3 linked regions of the Macaca fascicularis genome follow. The protein of the gene in region 3 purifies or fractionates together with the protein of the main gene of each other region. This does not show direct contact. Links are inferred from orthologs where the notes say so. Each region holds a gene or a part of one and is shown on either strand. Other genes may lie near its edges. The genes, in order: C1QBP, GNAS and MAGED2.

What was found.
Region 1: the proteins of MAGED2 (region 3) and C1QBP purify together in Homo sapiens (affinity purification with mass spectrometry; 3 studies listed by BioGRID and IntAct, counting the BioPlex papers as one, with this or other methods). This does not show direct contact. The link is inferred for Macaca fascicularis from reciprocal best matches to the Homo sapiens genes MAGED2 and C1QBP.
Region 2: the proteins of MAGED2 (region 3) and GNAS purify together in Homo sapiens (affinity purification with mass spectrometry; 3 studies listed by BioGRID, counting the BioPlex papers as one, with this or other methods). This does not show direct contact. The link is inferred for Macaca fascicularis from reciprocal best matches to the Homo sapiens genes MAGED2 and GNAS.

The regions. Positions count from the first base shown.
Region 1 is NC_088390.1:5,495,636-5,502,620, reverse strand, and holds the end of C1QBP (complement component 1 Q subcomponent-binding protein, mitochondrial), read left to right. Parts: intron 1-1,493; coding exon 1,494-1,587; intron 1,588-3,442; coding exon 3,443-3,538; intron 3,539-3,792; coding exon 3,793-3,915; intron 3,916-3,970; exon of another isoform or gene 3,971-4,050; coding exon 4,051-4,200; 3' UTR 4,201-4,432; downstream 4,433-6,985. Other genes in the region: RPAIN (RPA-interacting protein), read right to left, coding at 4,635-4,664.
Region 2 is NC_088384.1:114,960,289-114,968,466, forward strand, and holds the end of GNAS (guanine nucleotide-binding protein G(s) subunit alpha isoforms XLas), read left to right. Parts: coding exon 1-20; intron 21-3,696; coding exon 3,697-3,751; intron 3,752-3,884; coding exon 3,885-3,958; intron 3,959-4,055; coding exon 4,056-4,114; intron 4,115-4,218; coding exon 4,219-4,339; intron 4,340-4,485; coding exon 4,486-4,616; intron 4,617-4,871; coding exon 4,872-4,939; intron 4,940-5,209; coding exon 5,210-5,356; 3' UTR 5,357-5,719; downstream 5,720-8,178. UniProt on the Homo sapiens protein: Guanine nucleotide-binding proteins (G proteins) function as transducers in numerous signaling pathways controlled by G protein-coupled receptors (GPCRs).
Region 3 is NC_088395.1:54,793,985-54,802,273, forward strand, and holds the start of MAGED2 (melanoma-associated antigen D2), read left to right. Parts: upstream 1-4,006; 5' UTR 4,007-4,069; intron 4,070-4,634; exon of another isoform or gene 4,635-4,690; intron 4,691-5,327; exon of another isoform or gene 5,328-5,479; intron 5,480-5,558; 5' UTR 5,559-5,587; coding exon 5,588-5,632; intron 5,633-5,972; coding exon 5,973-6,464; intron 6,465-7,091; coding exon 7,092-7,400; intron 7,401-7,520; coding exon 7,521-7,584; intron 7,585-7,844; coding exon 7,845-7,924; intron 7,925-8,289. UniProt on the Homo sapiens protein: Regulates the expression, localization to the plasma membrane and function of the sodium chloride cotransporters SLC12A1 and SLC12A3, two key components of salt reabsorption in the distal renal tubule.

The sequences.
Region 1 (6,985 bases), on a different chromosome or scaffold from region 3:
CCCAGCTACTCAGGAGGCTGAGGCAGGAGAATGGCATGAAGCCCAGAGGCAGAGGTTGCAGTGAGCCGAGATCACGTCACTGCACTCCAGCCTGGGCGACAGAGTGAGACTCTGTCTCAAAAAAAAAAAGAATTCTTTAGTTTTTCTGGGTATAGTGATCTTACCAAATTAATGATTTGCAAGTATTGTTCCCCATCTTGTGGGTTTTCTTTTCACTTTCTTTGTAATGCCCTCTGACACAAAAGTTTCTGATTTTGAGGAAGTTCAGTTTACCTATTTTTTTGGTTGCTTGTGCTTTTTTTAGTGTCACATCTAAGAAACCACTGCCTCGCCCAAGGTTGTGAAGATTTATGCCTTAATTTTTTCAGAGTTTTCTAGTTTTAGCTCTTAGTTGAGGTCTGTGATTCATTTTGAGTATGATGTGAAGTAGGGTACCAATTCTCTTGGCTATTGTGTAGTGTGGTTTTTCCCTACACAGGTCAATTGTGTCTTCTGTAATCTCACCTAAAAACCATTTGCACAAGGTTTTCATAGCTATTTGGGGGCCATTAAAAATAATGCTCTGACGAACATCATTCCATTTCTGTGCCCAGGAGCTCAGCTTGGTCAGCACAGTTGGAATCAGACAGATTGTGTCAACCTCAGACTGCCTCTGTTACTATGGAAAGGTGACTTCCTGGCAAAGCAGCTAGTTAGCACAAGTCGAGGGGGCGGTACTTCATGGAACTTGTATGGAACGGTGCCTGCCAGAGTTGCATAGTCCAGCAGTTCTGGTTCTAAACTTTATCTCCCAGGAATTTTGACTCAAACTTTGGGACATGATTTCTCAGGTGTGGATTCTTGCACCTTAAAATTGTCGCTAGTTGGTGTCTCTGGCCTGCTTTGTGATGATAAAACTTCCCACAAGTACTCTGAAGGATGACTGTCTACTACAGCCGTTTTTTTCTTTGTGAGGCATCCGCTTCCCGAGGCCAGGGCTGCTCTCCGTGTTTAACAGATGCAACCCTCCATTGCTCCTTCTTCCTTTCCTTGCAGGGCAAATTTTCTTATGGGGAAAGGCTCTTAAAGGGGCTTCTGTTCCATCTCACCAGCCTCCCAGGTCCTTACTTTCACCAAGGGTTCCTTGGAAAGACCAGGGTGGGCAGTGTCAGCTGGCTGTGGCCATGAGATGCCCAGTCAACACATGGCAGTGAGCCCTGGGGTACTGGCCCTGTTGGGAGTAACCCATGCATGACTTGTTTGGCTGAGATAAGCTGAGGCCAGCTTTGGCTTCCAGCAGCTGGTACATGGTAGGCACACTTGAGACCTGCTGAATCACTCAGGACTGGATGTAGGTACCAGCCTTGTTTGAAGTTCTGCATATAATTCAGCCAGCTAGGATAGAGACATTGTTTCAGTACACCTTTGTAACTGTAGCAGACCTCCCTGTTTGTGTGTTAACCTACTCAGTTAAAATGATGCCTTGTCTGTTATGTTTTCTCTTGCCCTTTTAGAATCATTGTCACTTTCAACATTAACAACAGCATCCCACCAACATTTGATGGTGAGGAGGAACCCACGCAAAAGCAGAAGGTTGAAGAACAGGAGGTAAGCTTAACACTATGATCAGCTTTTACCTCAGTTCTGACAGGCTGTCCCTGGGACTTAAAGAAGGAGCGTTTTTCTTTGCTCTTTAAAAAAAAAAAAAATTTTTTTTTCCTCTAAGGCCAGGCGCTTGGCTCACGCCTGAATCCCAGCACTTTGGGAGGGCAAGGTAGAAAGATCCCTTGAGGCCAGGAGGACCAGCCTGAGTAACATGGCAAGACCCTGCCTCTACGAAAGTTTAAAAAAAAACAAATTAGCTGGGCATGGTGGCACGACTGTGGTTCCAGCTATGCAGGAGGCTGAGGCAGGAGGAATCAGTGGTTTCTGGCCAGCTTTAACAGGACTGTGGCCCTCTTCCTTTTCCCAGGGGCAAAATACGTTGCTGTCTGCCAGCTCAGGCTTAGTGGTTTGGCTGGAAAGGAAATGAAATGTTCTCAGCCTTTCCCATGATAGGGAGTTTTGTTGTTTTTGAGAGAAGGTCTCGCTCCATTGCCCAGGCTGGAGTGCAGTGGCACGATCTCTGCCCACTGCAGCTTCCACCTCCCACGTTCAAGCGATTCCCCTACCTCAGCCTCCCCAGTAGCTGGGATTACAGACATGTGCCACCACACCTGGTTAATTTTTGTATTTTTAGTAGAGACAGGGTTTCACCGTGGTTGCCAGGCTGGCCTCAAACTCCTGACCTCAAGTGATCCAGCCACCTTGGCCTCCCAAAGTGCCGGGATTATGGGCATGAGCCACCACGCCCGGCCTATGGGGAGATTTTTTATATTGGAGGTTATCATTTGGTGTGTTTGCATGTGCGGAATGTTCCTAACATATCAGTCACAAGCTGGTAATACACAACAGCCATTTAACCAAGATAAGAATGCCAGGGGCAGGCTAGGTGTGGTGGCTCAAGCCTGTAATCCCAGCACTTTGGGAGTCCGAGATGGGCAGATCACAAGGTCAAGAGATCGAGACCATCCTGGCCAACATGGTGAAACCCCATCTCTACTAAAAATACAAAACTTAGTTGGGTGTGGTGGCAGGCGCCTATAGTCCCAGCTACTCAGGAGGCTGAGGCAGAATTGCTTGAACCCGGGAGGCGGAGGTTGCGATGAGCCAAGATCACACCACTGCACTCCAGCCTGGCAACAGAGCAACACTCTGCCTCGAAGAAAAAAAAAAAAAAAGAATGCCAGGGGCATAAGAGACTTTAACTGGATCATGCCTACTCTTCAGACATTTTAGGAAGTGCTGTGCCCAGCCTGGTAACCAGCCAGTACGAGGGCCACAGAGTCCCTAGACCTTCTGCCCAAAAGCCATCAGTACAGTGTTGGGTCATGACCTGGTGTGGATGGCACAGCTCTCTGGTGTGCTTCTTTCCCAGCAACCCCAACTAGCATCTCTCTGACATTGGACCCAGTCTGCTCCCAGAGCTCCACATCAGAGGAAAAGCTGCTGCTGTTATTCAGCCATAAAGATGGCCAGGTTCCCCAGCCTTTGACCCTGGTCCCTTTTGAAGACTCCTGGAACAGTCAAGCTGGAATCTTGAAACTTTAGGAAAGCTTTGCAGTGTATGGGTGGAGGAAAAGGCTTGGAATGTTAAGGAACTGATATAAACTCAGTTAATTGGCACATAGCTGAGGCGGCTGGTATCCAGATTTCTTAATTGAAAATCCAGTGTGTTACTTAAACAAGCAGGGTGCCAACAGAAGTGAGATCAAGCTCTTCCTTTGGGAATAGTATGGCATAAGACTATTAAAATGGCTACATAACATCCTAATGGTGGCTCTGAGAAATCTGAACAGAGATCCTTGATCCAGGCATCCATCTCCTTCCAGCAGTGGCATGTACTGACTTCTTGTTTTCCCAGCCTGAACTGACATCAACTCCCAATTTCGTGGTTGAAGTTATAAAGAATGATGGCAAGAAGGCCCTTGTGCTGGACTGTCATTATCCAGAGGATGAGGTATGTAGGATGGAGTGCTAGCCCCTTGGCACCCCTGGGGAGCACAGCGTGTCCCTTGGGAACTTCCTGTCCCTTTTAGCATAAATTTAAAGACTTTCTAGCTTAGACCAGCCCAGCAGGGGGAGAGGGGAGGGGAGTGAGGGAAGAGGGTTAAAACCTGATCAGTTTCATGCTGTCAGCGGCCCCCTTTCTTCGCATGAGTCTGGCTTATCCTGGAGAACCCTTCAGTTTCCCCAAATATTGTTTCTTCTCAGGTTGGACAAGAAGACGAGGCTGAGAGTGACATCTTCTCTATCAGGGAAGTTAGCTTTCAGTCCAGTGGCGAGTCTGAATGGAAGGATACTAATTACACACTCAACACAGATTCCTTGGACTGGGTGAGTGCTTGATAAGATGGGGGAACCTTTTGGGCCGTGGAAGGAAGGGTCCTAGTTCAAGGGGAGAAAGAAACATTTTAATGTTCATTACAGATTTTTTTTTGTTTTTAAACTAGTAAATGTTGTTCTTTGCAGGCCTTATATGACCACCTAATGGATTTCCTTGCGGACCGAGGGGTGGACAACACTTTTGCAGATGAGTTGGTGGAGCTCAGCACAGCCCTGGAGCACCAGGAGTACATTAGTTTTCTTGAAGACCTCAAGAGATTTGTCAAGAGCCAGTAGAGCAGACAGACGCTGAAAGCCTTAGTTTCATGGCAGGCTCTGGCCAGTGAACAAGTCCTACTCTGAAGCTAGACATTTGCTTTGAAATGATTATCGTCCTAATATCATGGGGAAAAACACCAAATTTAAATTATATGTTTTGCGCTCTCATTATCATTTTTCCTGTACAAATCTATTATTTCTAGATTTTTGTATAACATGATAGACATAAAATTGGTTTATCTCCTCCAAAGCAGTGTATCTATTCTATTCCTCCCGCTTCAACCTGCGTCACAAAAGACCAAGAACAGAGATGTCGGAAAAGTTTTTTTTCCTTCAGGATCGGTTAAAAGTTTCGATACAAAATAAGTTATAAATAAAAGGCTTGTATGTCCAAGGCTCCTCAGGGAGTGAGTGGTCTTCAACCCGTAGAATGATGTGAGTCCACGCTGGCTCTAGAGGATCACAGCCCAGGTATCACAGGCCTAGGTTTAAACAGGAGAAGAATTAGCTTAAATTGTATTCTAGTCATGAAAGACATGTGATACATCGTTAAAAGTTGTCATCAATGAGAATGCTACACATTAGATGAGGTCTCCTGAGTCCAGTTTGAATTAGTTAGGTCGTGTAATTTGTCATGAAGGCCACCGACGACTGCCCCTCTTTGGCTTTGCTGGACCTCTGTCCTGCAGCCTTCAAACAGCTGTCTGGAAACCGTCAGCACCAACAGTCTTCAAGCTAAGATCAAATCTGCAGAGGAACTAATCAAACATCCTCACCTCAGGAAACTACTGACCACAAAGATTGTATGATTGTATTCAAACTCTTGGTAGCTTGGAGCTTTTAGAGCCTAGCAGGAAGATGAGACTCCAAGTCTACACAAGATTGAAGCAGGTACGTATCACAGGGGAGGTACCAACCATGCATGATCAGTACGGGCAGAAAACATGTCTTCCCCTCGATCTGTAATATGATCAGTAAGCACCTAAGTGTAAAACTGGCTCCCGACTCCTTGGTGGCTCAGCCCCTCCACTATGCTAAGGAATCATCTGTCCTTGAGCCATTTATGCCAGAGGTTGCAATTTTTTTGTGTGAAAAATCAGACCTCGGCGATGACCTTGAGCAGTAGGGGATCAATAACTCCCCCAGGCTTAGCGTTCCACTAACAAAACAGTAGGCATAAATAGGTTACCCTTGTTTCTTACCACTTTCACAGGTAATATATTTGGCTTTCTCTAAAAGACACTATAACCCTGCTAATAGGTAGTTTAGCATATTCTATCCCATGACCACCACCTGAGCACCGTCACATCCAAAATATTCCTAAGTCTTGTAATATAGTGCCATCTTCTGTAACCCATCCCTATTTTCCAACACATCCTCAGTCATCTGTGCTGAGCCTCCCTACATCCTGACTTCACTGAATTCTAACACAATGGTCCTTGAGTCCCCCTTAAGCGAAAACCAAAGGTCTAGTGGAACTAGAGCATTCCAAATGTCTACTTTTCCAAATGTTGAACTCGGAACCTACAGAATACAATTTTGTCTTTCCCCTTCCTGTTTCTTGTTTTTTGTTTGTTTTTTTGAGGCTCAATCTCGCTGTCACCCAGGCTGGAGCGCAATGGCGCCATCTCAGCTCACTGCAACCTCCACCTCCTGAGCTCAAGCCATCCTCCCACTTCAGCCTCCCACTGAGTAGCTGGGAGTACAGGTGCGAGCCACCAGGCCCAGCTAATTTTTGTATTTTTAGTAGAGACCAGGTTTCACCATGTTGTCCAGGCTGGTCTTGAATTCCTAGCCTCAAGTGATCCATCCACCTCAGCCTTCCTAAGTGCTGGGATTACAGGTGTGAACCACAGCGCCTGGCTGTGTTTCTCGTGTTTGCTGTGAACCCCGCCTCCCTCACCCCTTACTTACCCAACAATGGTCTCCCTGCCCGCCCCAGAGCCAGCACTGACAACTATGATCTCCAAGACTGCTACACAGCACTCACCTTCCAAACCTCACCTCCCACTTAGCTTCACTGCTGCTCTGAGCCACAGGACACTGACGGTTAGGTGAGTGGATAACTGGGGTCCATAATTATATGCTGAGCTGAAGCTGTACACATGGCAATTAGGCAATCTTCCGCTTACCCTTTAATTGCCCTTCTCGTCCACCCGCCAGCATTTGGTCTTTCACACTCAAGGGGACTTTCATACTTGAGGAGCTGTAGACTCTAGCTCTGCTACCATTATAATCTGTGTAGATGACTCACTGTTCACCTTACTAAGACAGAAGCCAAAGCCAGCTGACCTGTGCCCTCTTCAACTCTCCTCCCTCCACCTTAACTCATCTGTACAAACATATTAAGCACGTATTTATTAATATAGGCCAAGCGCTGGGAGTAGAAATAAATATGGGCCATGCCCTCAAGGACAGATATGGGCAGGTAACTGCAGCACTGTTATGGATGACACGGCATGAGGTATGGTGGAAGCCCAAGGAGACACTGGCCAATTCCCCTCTGCCAGCCCTCATTAGGTTTGTTGAAAAAGGGAACACAGACTCTAAAGGAACGGACTTCTCAGGCTGGCCAATTCTTTTTTTGTTTGGTTTTTGTTTTTTGAGATGGAGTTTCGCTCTTGTTGCCCAGGCTGGAGAGCAGTGGCGTAATCTCCGCTCACTGCAACCTCTGCTTCCCGGGTTCAAGCGATTCTCCTGCCTCAGCCTCCCGAGTAGCTGGGATTACAGGCGTGTGCCACCACACCTAATTTTTTTGTATTTTTAGTAGAGACAGGGTTTCATCATATTGGCCAGGCTGGTC
Region 2 (8,178 bases), on a different chromosome or scaffold from region 3:
CTGATTGACTGTGCCCAGTAGTAAGTAACCCCACCCGACCCACCGGCACATAAAACAGGCAGACACAAGAAAACATGCAAACCTGTGATCCTGCTTGGAAAGCTACTTGTCGATGATTCCTTTCGTAGAAGCCAACCAGTTACCCCACTGGCAGAAAGTTCGAATCTGATTGAATTGTTTTATAAAGTCCTTAATTGCATTTTTTTTTTTTTTTTTTAGTGCAGGGACATTATTTTATATAAACATTGAATGTCTGTTAGAGCAAGATGATGATGAGTTTCATAGTATTCCTAATTACTGGGAAGTAATTAATTGAATTGACTCAAAGCATTTACAGAAATAGGGCAGTTCTCACATTTTGAATAATGTAAAAATACTACATTTTATTGCTGTAATTTTAAAACATAACAAAGAGGAACAGTGAAGACAGCTACGCCTCCTCTCTCACTGGTAGTTGTTGATTGCTCTATTTCTGCTCTCAGGTAAGAGACTCCAGTAGCTGCCTAGTGTTACTAGATCTGAGTGACTCTAGGTAGAGTTTGCTTTTGTGTTGTCTTGACTTTTGAACTCTATTTCATGTCCTTATTTATTCCTTCCCCCCGGCTCTTGATTTCAAGGATGGTAAGTAGTCAGTGTATTTTAAATCCTAAACTGTACACCTAAGCAGTACAGTACCGTGGTGGGGTCATTTTCAAATAAATTACTACCTGCAAGGAGGATGGGTTAAGGCCTGCAGTAGCAATGGGAAAGTCCTCTTTCTCCAAAGTCACTCATAAAGGTGGGCTCGCCTGCTTAGTGTGTTGGTAAATGAAGAAGGGGGAAACTTACGAAACAGATTTTATTGCACAACTCCACCTGATGCCCACGCTGCTACTCTTGTTGCCTAACACCTGACTTACCGTTCCCTCAGGGATTGCCTTCTGTCCCTGTCACCCACCATGGTCTCTCCCAGAGGACATCACACCCCATAGCTAGAAAGTTGCCTTTTAAATAGTTTATGGCCTCCCTCATCTTGCACATGATATAGCAAGCATATGGTGGTCAGGGTTATTTAAAAAATATGTAAAGATAATTATTATTATTATTATTTAGATGGAGTCTCACTCTGTTGCCCAGGCTGGAGTGCAGTGGTGCAGTCTTGGCTCACTGCAACCTCTGCCTCCTGGGTTCAAGTGATTCTCCTGCCTCAGCCTCCTGAGTAGCTGGGACTACAGGTGCCCGCCACCACACCCAGCTCATTTTTGTATTTTTAGTAGAGATGGGGTTTCACCATATTGGCCAGGCTGGTCTCGAACTCCTGACCTTGTGATCTGCCTGCCTTGGCCCCCCAAAGTGCTGGAATTAGAGGCGTGAGCCACCGCGCCCAGCCAAAAATGTAAAGATATCTTTTGTTTGTTGATGCTGCACAAATGCACAAAGCAGTCTCAGTTAATATTATGAAGTAGGAGTGTCTTGTGACTCGGGACAGGGGAGTCTAGTAGAGGTTTGATGTTTTAGCTGTCCTTATTACAAGTAGCTGAAACTCGGAACTGATTTTGCTATAGGAAGTATTAACTAATCAGAACCAAGGTGCCAGGCTGACTCACCAAGGGCTAAGATTGCTTTACTTAGTAGCCTCAAGCCCAAGGAACTGATTGTGAAAACCACCTGAATAAACAGGAGGGAGGAAGAGGTAATACTGTTTATCTATAAATCATATAAGCCTATGTTAGGGTCTGTGCAATCTATCAACCCCAGCCCTGCCTTCCCATAGGAAATTCCTTTGATTATTTTCAGTTGCCACATACACAGATATTCCACGGTTTAATATACAAGCAAATTTGTATATTTTTTCAAGGAACAGAAAAACAGTCCATCTTGGCTGGTCCCTGTGGCCCCCAGCCCCCACTCCTTCTTCAACAAAGTCCCTGATTTTCTCAAAAGTTCGAACTAAAAGCTGGAAGCGCTAATTATAGTAACGCAAAACAAATGGAAATCCTGGAATTGTTTGCATTTTGTATTTTGGATCCAAGTCAGAAGTGAAGTACAGGTACAAGATTAGGAGAGTTTAACCATCCCAGTTTTGAATGCTGGGGGGCAGGGAGTCACAGCTGCATTAATTAACAGTAGCTTAGCCAGGTGGTTGAAGTTTGTTGGGTTTCATTTTCTCTCTCAAATCATTTAGAAGTTTTTGGGGTTTTTTAATGCAACACTCAATTACTCCTGAAACTTTGTCTGAAAACTGCACCATTTGTATAGATCATGAAAAGTTGTAAGGAAACTCAGAGAAAAAGAGAACAACGCAGCTTAAAACCTTTAAAATGTCCTCCCTCACCGCTGGCTCAAACAGCCCTGCATCTGCCGTGGCCGGCACGTTTCTGTTGAACTGCCTTTATGTTAAAGTTGGGATACTGGTACCGTGCCCATTTCTTAAGCTGCCTATTTTTATTTGTTGAGCTGGGGTTTGGCTGGCTCCACTCCAGATGTCTCTCTCACAAGATTTGGTGCTGATGATCTATTTATAGAACTGTGGTTCTGTTGCCATGGTAACATGCTGGAGGCCAGGGCGGCTGGGGAGCTATTTCTGGACTGGTGCTGTAATGTAAGATTGATTGGGCAAGTTAGTATATCCTCTAAGCCAGACTAACCCTGAACTAGTAAAAAGGAAGAGGGGAACACAAAACTTAGGCAGTTTCTTGAAACAGACTTTTCTCTCTTTATGATTTTCTTTTCTCATTAGCCCACTTTAAAACAATTCCAATCTCTACATGCCTCTCCCTCCAAAAAATAAACTGGTTTTAGCATTTTCTGTATTAATTAAATTACCCCAATCTTTCAAAAGTAAATTTTCCTGTGTGTCTAGTCAAGCAACACAAACAAGATGCTTTTTAAATGAAAAGTTTAATATCTGGAGCGTTCTATTTCATGGACCAAACAGAACGGAAGAGAACTTTGTGTTTGTTTCCTGTTCAGGATGGCTAGGGCGAGAAGGCCCCTTTGTGCCAACCTCTTTTGTTCCCTTTAATCAATGAGATTCTTAAAAAGTGAAAAGGAAGGGCTATAGATTCTCAGTAACTAAAACAATCTCATGTGCCCTTGAGGAGAAAGTCCTTGATGTTTTTAAGAATGTCACTTTATTTATTTATTTTTTTAACTGAATGATACAGAGGTATACAATTTTCAAACTGCCATTTTAGGCAGGAAATTTGAAAATTGAAATGTTTTTGTCAAGCATTACCAAATGGCACAGATTGTGATAGGTCAGCCTGGTTTTGGGGTCCTTTCTCTACTGGTTGATATGCATAAAACCTTTTAAAAATCAAGAATATTACCAGAGAGCAACAGGAATAAACAAGCTAAGTAAAGAAGAAAAAAGAAAAATAGAAAAAAATAAACATGAAGAACAAAGCCCCACCACTGTCCTGTGCTGTTTGTGTGGCCCCACTGCACCGAGGCCACAGGCTAGCTGCTAGACGCATCTAGAGTTCCCTGATTCCTAAAATTATTTATCTTAAATCCCATTTGGCCTAACTTTCTTAAGGCATCAGCTTTGAGTTATAAATGTAACCAACACACAAGCAAATATGCCATTGACTTAGTGCTGCATAACTGTGGGACGGTCACTTCCGTTGAGCCTGACCTTGTAGAGAGACACAAATAGTTGGCAAATTAATGTGAACGCTGTGAACACCCCATGTGCCTTTCTTTTTCTCCCAGCTTCCTGGACAAGATCGATGTGATCAAGCAGGCTGACTATGTGCCGAGCGACCAGGTGTGCAAAACCCTTCACCACCAGAGGACCCTGAGCCCTCTTCCCAAACTACCCCAGACTTTTGCTTTAGATTGGAAATTATTACTATTTCGATTGGCTTTGCTGAGATCCATTGACCTCAATTTTGTTCTAGGACCTGCTTCGCTGCCGCGTCCTGACTTCTGGAATCTTCGAGACCAAGTTCCAGGTGGACAAAGTCAACTTCCAGTAAGCCCACTGTTACCTTTTTATATAACAGAGATCATGGTTTCTTGACATTTACCCCAGCCCCTCTGGAATAACCAGCTGTCTTCCTCTCCACCAGCATGTTTGACGTGGGTGGCCAGCGCGATGAACGCCGCAAGTGGATCCAGTGCTTCAATGGTAGGACGCTGTGGGCTTGGCTGTTCGTGAAGAACGCTTTGCTTCTGTGTTGTTAGGGATCAGTGTCGCTGCTCACGCTCTTGGCTTTGCTTTCTTTGGTTAAGATGTGACTGCCATCATCTTCGTGGTGGCCAGCAGCAGCTACAACATGGTCATCCGGGAGGACAACCAGACCAACCGCCTGCAGGAGGCTCTGAACCTCTTCAAGAGCATCTGGAACAACAGGTTTGTGGAGTGACCGCCCACCCCCTGCGCTTGCCCAGGAGGCCCTGGTCTGCACTGTTTGTAGAAAAGAACCCTGTGCAAGCATTCCAGACCCCTGGCCAAAAGCGCGCTTCTCCCGGGCATTCACACGGCCTCCCTTCTTGTAGATGGCTGCGCACCATCTCTGTGATTCTGTTCCTCAACAAGCAAGATCTGCTCGCTGAGAAAGTCCTTGCTGGGAAATCGAAGATTGAGGACTACTTTCCAGAATTTGCTCGCTACACTACTCCTGAGGATGGTGTGTATGGCTTCCACTCTTTTGCTGGCTGTTCATTGCAGTGGTTCTTTTTCAAACAGTCGGGCTGAAAGCCGCCATCCCCCTCCCACCACCAAACCATAAAGGATCTGTAAGAGAAGCAAGAAAAACACACTTGCATTAATTCTCATATGGAAAAATCAGGGTTTTGAAGACTTCAGGAGCTACAATGATGCTAGCACCCCAGCTCTGCTTGACTTTTTAATTACATTAATATATATTCCCTTTTTTTTATAGCTACTCCCGAGCCCGGAGAGGACCCACGCGTGACCCGGGCCAAGTACTTCATTCGAGATGAGTTTCTGGTGAGTTGAGCCTGTCTTTAGTTTCCTCTCTTGCTCCTCCTCTTTTTCTCATGGATGTAAATTTACTTCAGGGGTTCAGCTACCCAGGTCCATGGTTTTAGTTCACGCACATCCAGTGTGGATTTGAGTTCTTTGCACCCCTCCTTTTGCTTTCGTTTTCATATGACATCAGAGACTGGCCAACAGCCGTCCCTGGTAGGTGTCCCCATCAGTGATAGGGTGGTTCCTGGCGAGGGTGTCACTGACGAGTCCCTGCGTTTGTACCCGCAGAGGATCAGCACTGCCAGTGGAGATGGGCGTCACTACTGCTACCCTCACTTCACCTGCGCTGTGGACACTGAGAACATCCGCCGTGTGTTCAACGACTGCCGTGACATCATTCAGCGCATGCACCTTCGTCAGTACGAGCTGCTCTAAGAAGGGAACCCCCAAATTTAATTAAAGCCTTAAGCACAATTAATTAAAAGTGAAACGTAATTGTACAAGCAGTTAATCACCCACCATAGGGCATGATTAACAAAGCAACCTTTCCCTTCCCCCAAGTGATTTTGCGAAACCCCCTTTTCCCTTCAGCTTGCTTAGATGTTCCAAATTTAGAAAGCTTAAGGCGGCCTACAGAAAAAGGAGAAAAGGCCACAGAAGTTCCCTCTGACTTTCAATAAAAATAAATAAAACAACAGCAGCAAACAAACAAAATGAAATAAAAGAAACAAATGAAATAAATATTGTGTTGTGCAGCATTAAAAAAAATCAAAATAAAAATTAAATGTGAGCAAAGAATGATGGGACTCCCGTGAGTTATTTGTGGTTCTGCGCAGATTCCTGTCATTCATGGTTTGACTTGGCCCTTACATCAAAAGTTGGGAGGCCCCAAGGTGAAGTGGGTATAAAATCTCACCACTGTATGTTTTCTGGTGACTGTAAAATGTAGGTGTCTTGAAATAATTTTCAGACAATAGGAAAAGTCCACTCCTGTTGATCTCCCAAACTTTTACCCCATAGTGGACCACTATGCCCCGGTCACCTCTACATTTTGATCACTGCCATCCTATCCAAAGATTCTGCCAACTTATGCCATTACATCATCACACAGTTTGCCTGCTGACCCAGGCTTCCTAAGAAAAGTAGTGTATTTTTTGCTATAAGATAGGGACTAAATGATGTGGAGAAATATAGGAGCGCCGTGTTTCAAATCAATGGGGTTATTCAAGAAATGGTGTAGCCATTTGGGGAAAATTTAGACTGGATCCCTACCTCATTGCACACACCAAAATGAATTTGACAAGTTGATCACATACATCTAAATAAAAGACGTACTTTTTAAAGTGGCTATTTTACAGTTAAACTCTTGGGTTTATAAAGGGCCTCTCTGCAGCATAACCTGAGACCTAAAGGCCTTAAGGGGGTTGGGGATGACTACAAAAATGAAAATCACACTTCAAATTTGAATGGGGGAAGGGCCTGGGTTGGGTAAAAATTTAACAAAGGGTTTACTTAATAAGCAGAGTTTTTATGAATTAATAAGCAATATCATCAGAAAAATGGGCACAGTATATAAGCATGCAACTTAAATACAAATAGCTAATAAACCTCAGGATATGTGGACCATCACTCACAATATTCACTATAATTGGGAGTGAGGATGGGAGTCCATACTCAATGGGTTGGAGTGTGGCTTATTTCTGAGGTCCTGTGGGTTCCCTAGACTTTCACCCCTAGGCTTATCCCCCAAGGTGTTGTCACTTACGTGGTCACTTCCTGGGTGGCTCCCAGGAAGGGTGGGAGGAAGTGACCAGCATCAACGATGGTGCCCTCTGAAGCTGGGCAAATGGGACTTCAAGTTCATTCTGTAATCCAGGCCCCAAATCCACTTCCTATTCTAGTTTCCAGATCAAATTACTCTCACCCAAATTAATCATACAATATAGCTCACCAGAGGCGAGCGATGAGCCCCAAGGGGGGTAGAAAAGTAGCAAATACCTGCATTTCCATCCAATTTTTCACACAACATTCAGTCCACGTGTGCTTGCTATGCAGTTTTTAGTACAAAGCCCTCAAAACCCCCCAAATAAATATACAATCCAAGTAAAAATTGGGGCTTGCTATGCAAATATAACCAAAAGACTAGCCTACAAGTTCCCATAATCCTCCAAAGCACCCCAAATAAACACCTAAAACCTGGACAGTGGCTATCAAGTGCAACCACAAGACCAGCCCCTAGCTCCTCTTCCAAGATGGCCACCTGTATGCCCCTTTTGCACAGAAATTCTGGAACCGTCTAAGCATAATCCACATGAGATTGTCACAGCTCTAGCCACATATCCATCAAAATTAGAAAACACAAAATTCCCAGGCCATAGAGATGCCCAGGAAAATGATACCACAGAGCCCCACCTTGTTGGTCATAACTGACAGAGACTTCATGGTATCTTCTAGAAGAAAGGCCACAAAAGTCACAGTTATCAGGTATCTACTAGTGCTAGCCATTACCCAATGGGATAGGTTCAGCTGCTATTTTGACAGTGAGTAAACGAGGCCCAGAGAGGCCCCGAGAGAGGTCTCTAGTGAGAAGGGAAGATGGGCTTCAAACTCAAGTAGCCAAAGCCCACTGCTTGGTCCCTACAAGATACTGTTGTCCTGGAAGATGCAGGAGAAAAGAGAAAAAGGTCTCCTGGTGTTCTTCCCATGATGTCAGTTATCAGGAGTCCATGACCTGTGACCCCCGTCGAAAATCCTGCAGGTCACCATGGGATTCCACACCCAGGTAGTTGGGTGGGGCCTCTTCCCACAGACCGTGGCACTGGCCATACTCCTGCCTCCCTACCAGGTCAGGGCTCTGCCCTCACCAGTCACCCTGATGTGTTTGAGACTTGCTTCCCTGTGTTAGGGCTCATCACTGCTATTTAAAACAGTTTTGTTTTCCTTTTCCCTTTGCCCCTGGGACCAAGCAGAACTTCTACAGCTATTTTAAAATCTACATTTTAGGATCTTCAAAAACAAAACATAATAAAGAATTTCATCTAAATCTTTGATTACAAGAAGCCATTTTAAAAAAAAAAGTTTTTTTAATCGGAATGCCTGCAATCCCAGCACTTTGGGAGGCCAAGGCGGGCAGATCACGAGGTCAGGAGATCGAGACCATCCTGGCTAACACGGTGAAACTCCGTCTCTACTAAAAATACAAAAAATTGGCCAGGTGTGGTGGCGGGCACCTGTAGTCCAAGCTACTCAGGAGGCTG
Region 3 (8,289 bases):
ACTAAGCAATCCTTAGCCTGCCTTTCCTTATCTCCAGAACAGAGCTGCCTGATAACAGCCTTTCATCTTTCCTCTTAGTTGATATGTAGGATCTATATGATCTCAGATATTTCTATACTGATCTATGGGTGCTAGAAATGGGCCTGAGACCCAGTGACCTAGGTTCTTCAGAGTTTATGGGTGGATGATGAAGATCAAGATTCCAAGAGTTCACAAGGAGAAGGTGGGAGGAAATCTCTCTGGTCAAAGGGTAAAGATTATGAACTAATTTGTCTTTTCTCCCCTGATGAGGTTGCCTCCTGCCCTCTGATCCCCAGGTCATAAGATAAGGGTGTTAATGGTATTATGTTATGAAGGTGGTGGAATTGAGAGGGGTCTGGGGAAGTTTGGGTTTGACAATCTTTGGGAATGCCTCTCTGATAGATTTGGACTGAGATTTTTCCTGACTTCCTGAATCCAATAATATCTCCTAAGGTTCTGACTCTGTATTCCTTTAAGTTACCCCAGGATCCCAAAGACCACAAGTGGGACCGAAAACATTGTGAAACTTAAAATGTTGGAGGTTGTAACCTAGCGTAGATATACCAGAAGTGTAGTTGTAACAGAGGGTCTTCCCCATGGGGACAAAATTGCTTAACAAAGGCTGCTAGGCAAGAGAAGGCAGGGCATATCTGGTAATAGTGAAGTGTTCTGTTTAGGTGGAATATAGGCAACTATATCTAGTACTTTCAGAAAAACAGCAGGAAAAAGGCTGGAAACTCAGTCAGGGCTGGATTTTGGGAGAGCCTTGAAATCAAACTCAAGCGTTTCTTGGGAAAGCATTCCATACCCATTGTCATGAATACCTCACCTGCTATTCATATCTCAACTCACTGTAATCAGGAAACTGCTGCATGGAATAGACTCTGAAATAACAATGGCTTAAATAAGACATATATCTATTTGCCTCACCTAAAAGAAACCCAGAGGTAGGCAGTTCACGTTGGCTTCATGAAATTGTTATGGATCCAGGTTCTTTTTAGTTTATTAATCCAGTATCTTTAGAGTGTGACCCTAGTCCTCATGGCCTTTATTCTGGGAGGCTATGTATCTAGCTAAAAATCAGATGGCTTATTACTAAGGAAGAAGAAGAGCATGGATATCAGGGTAAGCAATTAGCAATCTATGCCACAAACATGTGCACTGAAGCTATTCCTTCCAAGGTCACCAGAGACCACCACTTGATCGTCAGAATCCCCAGACATTTTTTCAGGTCTTACTTTTCTTGATTCTTGGCAACATTCATCACTATTGACCTTGACTCCTCCCTCCTTTTGAAACAATCTCTTTCCTTACTTTTGTGACACTCCTTTCTCCTTTTTTTTTTTTTTTTTTTTTTTTTAATGGTGTCTTGCTCTATCACCCAGGCTGGAGTGCAATGGCACAATCTCGGCTCACTGCAACCTCTATCTCCCAGGTTCAAGCTATTCTCCTGCCTCAGCTTCCCGAGTAGTTGAGACTACAGGTGTGCTCCCCCACACCCAGCTAATTTTTTGTGTTTTTAGTTGAGATGGGGTTTCACCATGTTGACCAGGCTGGTCTTGAACTCCTGACTTCAGGTGATCTTCCCACCTCGGCCTCCCAAAGTGCTGGGATTACAGGTGTGAGCCACCACACCCGGCCCTCTCCTGTTTTTCTCTCTGCCTTTTTGGTCACTCCTTATCAATCTCTTTCATGAGTTCCTTTTCCTCCACCTATACCAAAGGTGCTTTTGGGCTGCAGGGCTCTTCCGTGGGCCCATGTCTCTTCTAGCACTGTGCATTCACCAGGGTGCTGTTGCCCTTTCTCATGAATTAAAGAACTATTTATGTACTGATGACTCCTAGATCTATAGCCTCAGCCTAGACCACTTCTCTGAGCTTCAGACATGTATATTCAACTGCCTGTGGTACATTTCCATATGGACATGCCACAGGTGCCTTAAAAGCAATGTTCAGTTCTCCTCTAACCTGCTCCTCAAACCCGCTCTTCCTTCAGTATTCCTGATCTCAGTGAGAGGAGTTACCATTCACACAATCTCTCAAATCAGATCGCCAAGAGTTCCCTTTGACACTCCACTCGTCTTCAGTTACTCAAGTCCAATTACTTTTTACTTCTTTACTATCTCCTCGATTCAATCACTTCTCACTACCTGCCACCACTCTAGGTCAAAGCACAATCATTGCTTACCTAGATGACTACAAAAGGCATAAGTACTCTCCCTGTTTCCAAGACAACACCTATTCCATACTCCATATAGCAGCAAGGTGTTCTTTCTAAAACACAAACCTATGCTGTATCCTTGCCTAGAATCCTTTAATAACTCCTGGGTGTTCTCAGGATCAAGACCAAAGTCCTTATCTTGGCATTCAAAACTTGCCAACTTGCCACGATTTGGAAGGGATTGGGAATTTGAGATGCCAGAAATAGAAGAAAAGGAGGCGCTATGTCTAGTGTGGATAAGGGAGAAAATCTGGGAGGCAAGAACATGGTGAACTGATATCACACACTTGGAGAAAGCAACAATTCAGAGAAAGAGAAAAGACAGGAAAACAGAAGCCTGCCTTGAATATGCAAGAAATTTGTGTGTGTGTCTATCTTGAATTATCCATAGAACATAGGGATTCATGATATGTTATTTACACAGTAAAAGGTGACCACATAAAGCAGGAGACTTGTGTCCATTTGAATTACATTTATATGTGGAAAGGCATTGAATATTATTTCCACAACTAACCGTTGTGCTGAATTTTATTATGGTTTCTAATAACTTTTTAGTTGATGCTCTTGGGTTTTCCAGGTCTGCATTTATATATCCAGTAATTAATGATGATTTGTCTACTTCCTATTATTTTACATCTTATTTTGTTTTCTTGAATAGATCCAATTGCTTATGTGAATTTATTATGTGATAGAGGTGCCATTTCAAAGCAGAGAGGGAAAAGATGGATTAGTTTGCACATGATGTAGGGGTAAGAGACTATGATTTTGGAGAGTAATCAAGCTGAATCCGTATAGAAAATAAATTTTGAAATGATCAAACATCTAAATGTAAATAATAAAGCCACAAAAGTGCTTCAAGGAAAAAAAAACGGGGATTGTTATAGGAACATGAAAAGCATCTTTAAGCAAGCAGCAGGATCCAGTTGTGATGAAGGAAAAATGGATATATTTGACTACATAATAATTAAACATTTTTGTTTGGCAAAAATTATCATAAATAACATGAAAAATATTTGTAATATGTGACACGTACACGAGAGACATTGCTGGTGGGAACGTTATTCCATGTACTTTTTAGGAGTAAGTTGACAAATTTTGTATCTTTTGTTATCAAAATGGAAGACGTTTTTGTAGCATTTGAGCTAGCAAAAAATACCCTAAATAAAAAAAAAGTGCCCCAAACAATCTAAATGTACATGTGTGCTGGACTGGTTCAATAAATTATGGGACATCTATACAAGAAAAGATCATGCAACTGTTTAGAAAAATGTGCACTAACGGAAAGATTTTTTATATATAACTGGAAAAAAACAGGTCGCAGAACAGAAGGTATGTATAGTGTACCATTTGTCGGAGAGAGAACCTGAATAATTAGTATACGAATAGAAAAAAAATCTGGATAGCAAAATGTTAATAGTGGTTATTTCTGGGAGATAAGAGTGGCCTTTCATTGGTATGTTATATATTACTGCATTGTTTTAATTTTTACAACAACAACAACAAAACAACAACATATTACCTTTGTAATAAGAAAAAATGAAGATATAAAAAGAAATTCAATGAATGACTTTCTTTCGGGGGCGGTTTGGGTTGGAAGAGTTTCAGACTGAGCCTGGTACAGTGGCATAAACATGGGCTTTGGCGTCAGACAGCCCTGAGCAGGGCCCCATTGCCCCACCCCCGAGGAAGGCGAGGGGGGGTGGCAGGGGGCTGCGGAAAGGGGCTGGGCTGGGTTGGGCTGTCTGCAGCTCTAGTCCAGGAGGCTGAGACTTCGAGAGGGACTTAGAGAAGGCAGACGCATCCCGAACTCGCTGGAGGACAAGGTGAGGTGCGTTGAGATTGGGGTTTTATGGAGGTCATAGAGTGGTTCCAGACCCCTCGAACCCATAGCCAGGCAGATGAGCAATTCTTACTGCACCACTGCAGCTGAAGCAGAGGTGACCTGGAGTGGTGTGTAGGCAATGAGGACGACTGAGAAAGTGGTAGGCTGTATAGACTGGGAGCAGAGACGAGCGGAGGAGGAGGGGAGAAAAACGGGGAACCAGGAATGTTGGGAGGGGGACGAGGAATACAAGGAGGGAGGGGAACACTAAGGGGGAGTGATCCAGAGAAGAGAATGGGGATGCAGAGAGAGGTTAAGGAATACTGAGGGGCAGGGTGTGCAATCGTAACACGGAGGAGGATGTAAGGAATGGGAAGAGGGAATTCTGGAGTAAATAGAAAATGTGAGGTGGGAATAGGGAGTAAGGAGCCAGGCTAAGGGAATACGGAGGGGGGCATAAGGAATGAGGAGCAGGGAGCGGGGGAGGGGCAGACAGGCTGGGACGGAGGCCCCCTAGGGAGGCGGAAAGGGGCGGGACCACTTCCGGCCTAGAGAAGGGAGGGCAGTCTCTGAGTTTCGGAGGGGCTTGGAGTGAGTGGACGCTCTCGGGAATTGTAGGAGGACGAGGTGAGCAGCCGGGCGGGCTTTTGGATGAGAGCCCCGCTAGGGGTCGGCCGCACCCTCTGGGATCTGGAGAAAACCTGTCATGAGGATCGGATCGTACCGGATCCATCCGGCTGGGAAGGGAGGGGACTGGACCCGGTTTGACCGGGCCCAAGATGGAATCACTAGCTTAATATTTATTTGAGGAGGGGGTGTAATAGGGAAGGGGCGGAACCAAGATGCGCCTGTTTGGAGGGGGGCGTGTTAGGAAGAAGGGCGGGGCCAAGAGACACTGGACTCGGTAGGGCGTGAGTAGGGGAGGGGCCGGGCCCACCAGACACTGCGACAATTTTGGAGGAAGGCTTCTTGGGCAGGGGGCGGGACCGAATGGTACTGCGGACCTGGAGAGGGGCGTGTGTCGGGGCAGAGTGCCAGACTGAGACCACGATCATTGCGCATGCGCACTATGTATCGCTGAAAGGGGCGTGTTGAGAAGGGCCAGCACTGAGACGAGCCAGCTGCTGAATGCGCATGTGCACGGTGGACATCAAAGAAAGGGCTCGTGCTGGGAAAGCGGGCGGGGCTGAGAGCGGCCCTGCAGCCGACGCGCATGCGCTCTATCGACCTGCGGCTGGGTGGGGGGTGCACTGGGAAAAGGGGCGGGGTCCTCAGAGCTGCCGCGCTGGCACATCTTCCTGGAGAAGGGGAGGGTGCGGCTGCAGACAATTGAGACTTAGAAGCTTTGGATTCCTGTATCTGAGAACGGAGTCGTTGTGGGTGGTGGAGGGGGTTGGAATTGGGGACCTACGGAAGGTAAGGATCAGCCTCCAGGCACAACAGGGGAGAGGACGTTCAGTGGGCTTCAACTTGACCCAGGCCTTCTCCTCTTCAGGCTCAGCTCTTGCCAGGCCAAATTGAGACATGTCTGACACAAGCGAGAGTGGTGCGGGTCTAACTAGCTTCCAGGTAAGGCCTCTTTCTGTCCTTTCCCCAGCTGCTTTTCCTCTCCAGCCCTTGTTGCTGCCCTAAGTCCCTTGGCTCTTCTCCTCCCATCCTTGTCCTTCTCCACCTACTTTCCTGCCTGGGTGTCCCCCTGCCCAGTGGAGGGAGGGAGAGAAGGTGGGCGGGCCCCTCTTCTGCCTTCAGTTCTTGCTCAGAGGAAAGGGAGGCCTTGTTCGGCTGAGGTGGTCAGAGCACACCGCAGGTACGAGTACAGGTCAGAGAAGTGTGGCCTTGGAATTTTGGAACCATTTGCTTAGTTGGGGGTGGGGAGAAGGTCTGTGAACTTCCCTGCTTCCTCTTGCAGGCTGAAGCTTCAGAAAAGGACAGTAGCTCGATGATGCAGACTCTATTGACAGTGACCCAGAATGTGGAGGTCCCAGAGACACCGAAGGCCTCAAAGGCACCGGAGGTCTCAGAGGATGTGAAGGTCTCAAAAACCTCTGGGGTCTCAAAGGCCACAGAGGTCTCAAAGACCCCAGAGGCTCAGGAGGCACCTGCCACCCAGGCCTCATCTACTACTCAGCTGACTGATACCCAGGTTCTGGCAGCTGAAAACAAGAGTCTAGCAGCTGACACCAAGAAACAGAATGCTGACCCGCAGGCTGTGACAATGCCTGCCACCGAGACCAAAAAGGTCAGCTGTGTGGCTGATACGAAGGTCAATACTAAGGCCCAGGAGACTGAGGCTGCTGCCTCTCAGGCCCCAGCAGATGAACCTGAGCCTGAGAGTGCAGCTGCCCAGTCTCAGGAGAATCAGGATACTCGGCCCAAGGTCAAAGCCAAGAAAGCCCGAAAGGTAAGACCTCTGCAGTCACCACCCTTCGTTTTCTACTCCTCTCCTCTCAGTTGGTTCATTTGTTCTACAAACATTTCGAAAGATCCCTGTGCTCATCAGGGCTGTGGGGGGCACTGAAAGTAATGTGATGTAATTCTTGTCTTCAGAGAGCTTGCAGACTGATGGGGAGATGAGACAGGAATACACATAGCTGCAATCTGAATATAATGCAGTTTATATTTACATAGTAGCTGCCCTGTGTTAGGCCTTGAGCTAAGCACATTTATGCAGGTTATCTCATTAAATCCTGAAAGTAATTCTCATAGCCCCAATTTTATAGAGAAGGAAGCTGAGTTCCAGAGAGGTGAAGCAGTTTTTCTAGGGATGGTTCAAGCAGAGCCAGTAGTGGGCACAGAAAGAGAAGAAGACTCAGCCTCCACCCACCCTTGGTTTGCTCCTGGCCTGCTAGGCAGATGAAACACTTGCTTGGAAGTCAGTGAGAAACAAACCCAGGGTTCAGCATAGCCAACATCTATTAAGTCGGGCTGTTACTACAGGGACGGGATTGGCGGGTGCTTCCTGGAAGAGATAGGGAGAGGAAAAGGACCACCTGTTTCATCTGGTGATGTTGAGCTTCTGTTGATGCAGGTGAAGCATCTGGATGGGGAAGAGGATGGCAGCAGTGATCAGAGTCAGGCTTCTGGAACCACAGGTGGCCGAAGGGTCTCAAAGGCCCTAATGGCCTCAATGGCCCGCAGGGCTTCAAGGGGTCCCATAGCTTTTTGGGCCCGCAGGGCATCAAGGACTCGGTTGGCTGCTTGGGCCCGGAGAGCCTTGCTCTCCCTGAGATCACCTAAAGCCCGTAGGGGCAAGGCTCGCCGTAGAGCTGCCAAGCTCCAGTCATCCCAAGAGCCTGAAGCACCACCACCTCGGGATGTGGCCCTTTTGCAAGGGAGGGTAAGAACTCTGTCCTTTTTACTCTGCCTTTTCTACTGCCTTGGCTGCCCTTTTCTTTGCCATCGTCTCAAGTTTTCAGCAAACTTGTTTTGGTCTTTCCATCTTTTTCTACTCTGCCAGGCAAATGATTTGGTGAAGTACCTTTTGGCTAAAGACCAGACGAAGATTCCCATCAAGCGCTCAGGTAAAGTCCTACCAATCCTCCCTCTACCCTAAGCTCTGCCCTCCATTGCCCTTGCATCATTGTGCTGGGGATATCTGCTGCTCTTATGCTTATATCTCTGTCCTCCCAAAGTTCTAATTTGGCAGTGCTAGCATCTCTGTTGATAAGCGCAGAACCTGGTTATGCCACCCTTGGTGTGGTTGGCAAAGAGTCTATAGCTTGGGCATCAGGGCCACCTGGCATCTCTTCAGTCAGGTGCTTACACCACTTTCCCCTTGCAGACATGCTGAAGGACATCATCAAAGAATACACTGATGTGTACCCTGAAATCATTGAACGAGCAGGCTATTCCTTGGAGAAGGTGAAGGGGCAGCCCTGGGGGATGGGCACAGTGGGGAAGCCTTGAATTGAACAAAAATGTGCAAGTTCCTTCTCAGGGGAACCAGAGAGACCTGCTAATCTAGCTCCATCACTATGCTGAGGGGCAGACAATGGCCTAGGGAGGGGTGTAGATGAGCGATGGGTCACACAGCAAGTCAATGGTAAAAGTACAGTTAGGACCCAAGGCACCCAACTTAGTCCTGGCTTCTGTCCACAGCTCATGCCATGTATTTCAGATTTCACCTCTCCCTTTCATTCCCCATTCTCTGTCTCCCTAGATTCCCACTCATCGCAAAGACGATAATGACAATAGTACATTTGCTGCATGTTTACTGGGTGCCAGGC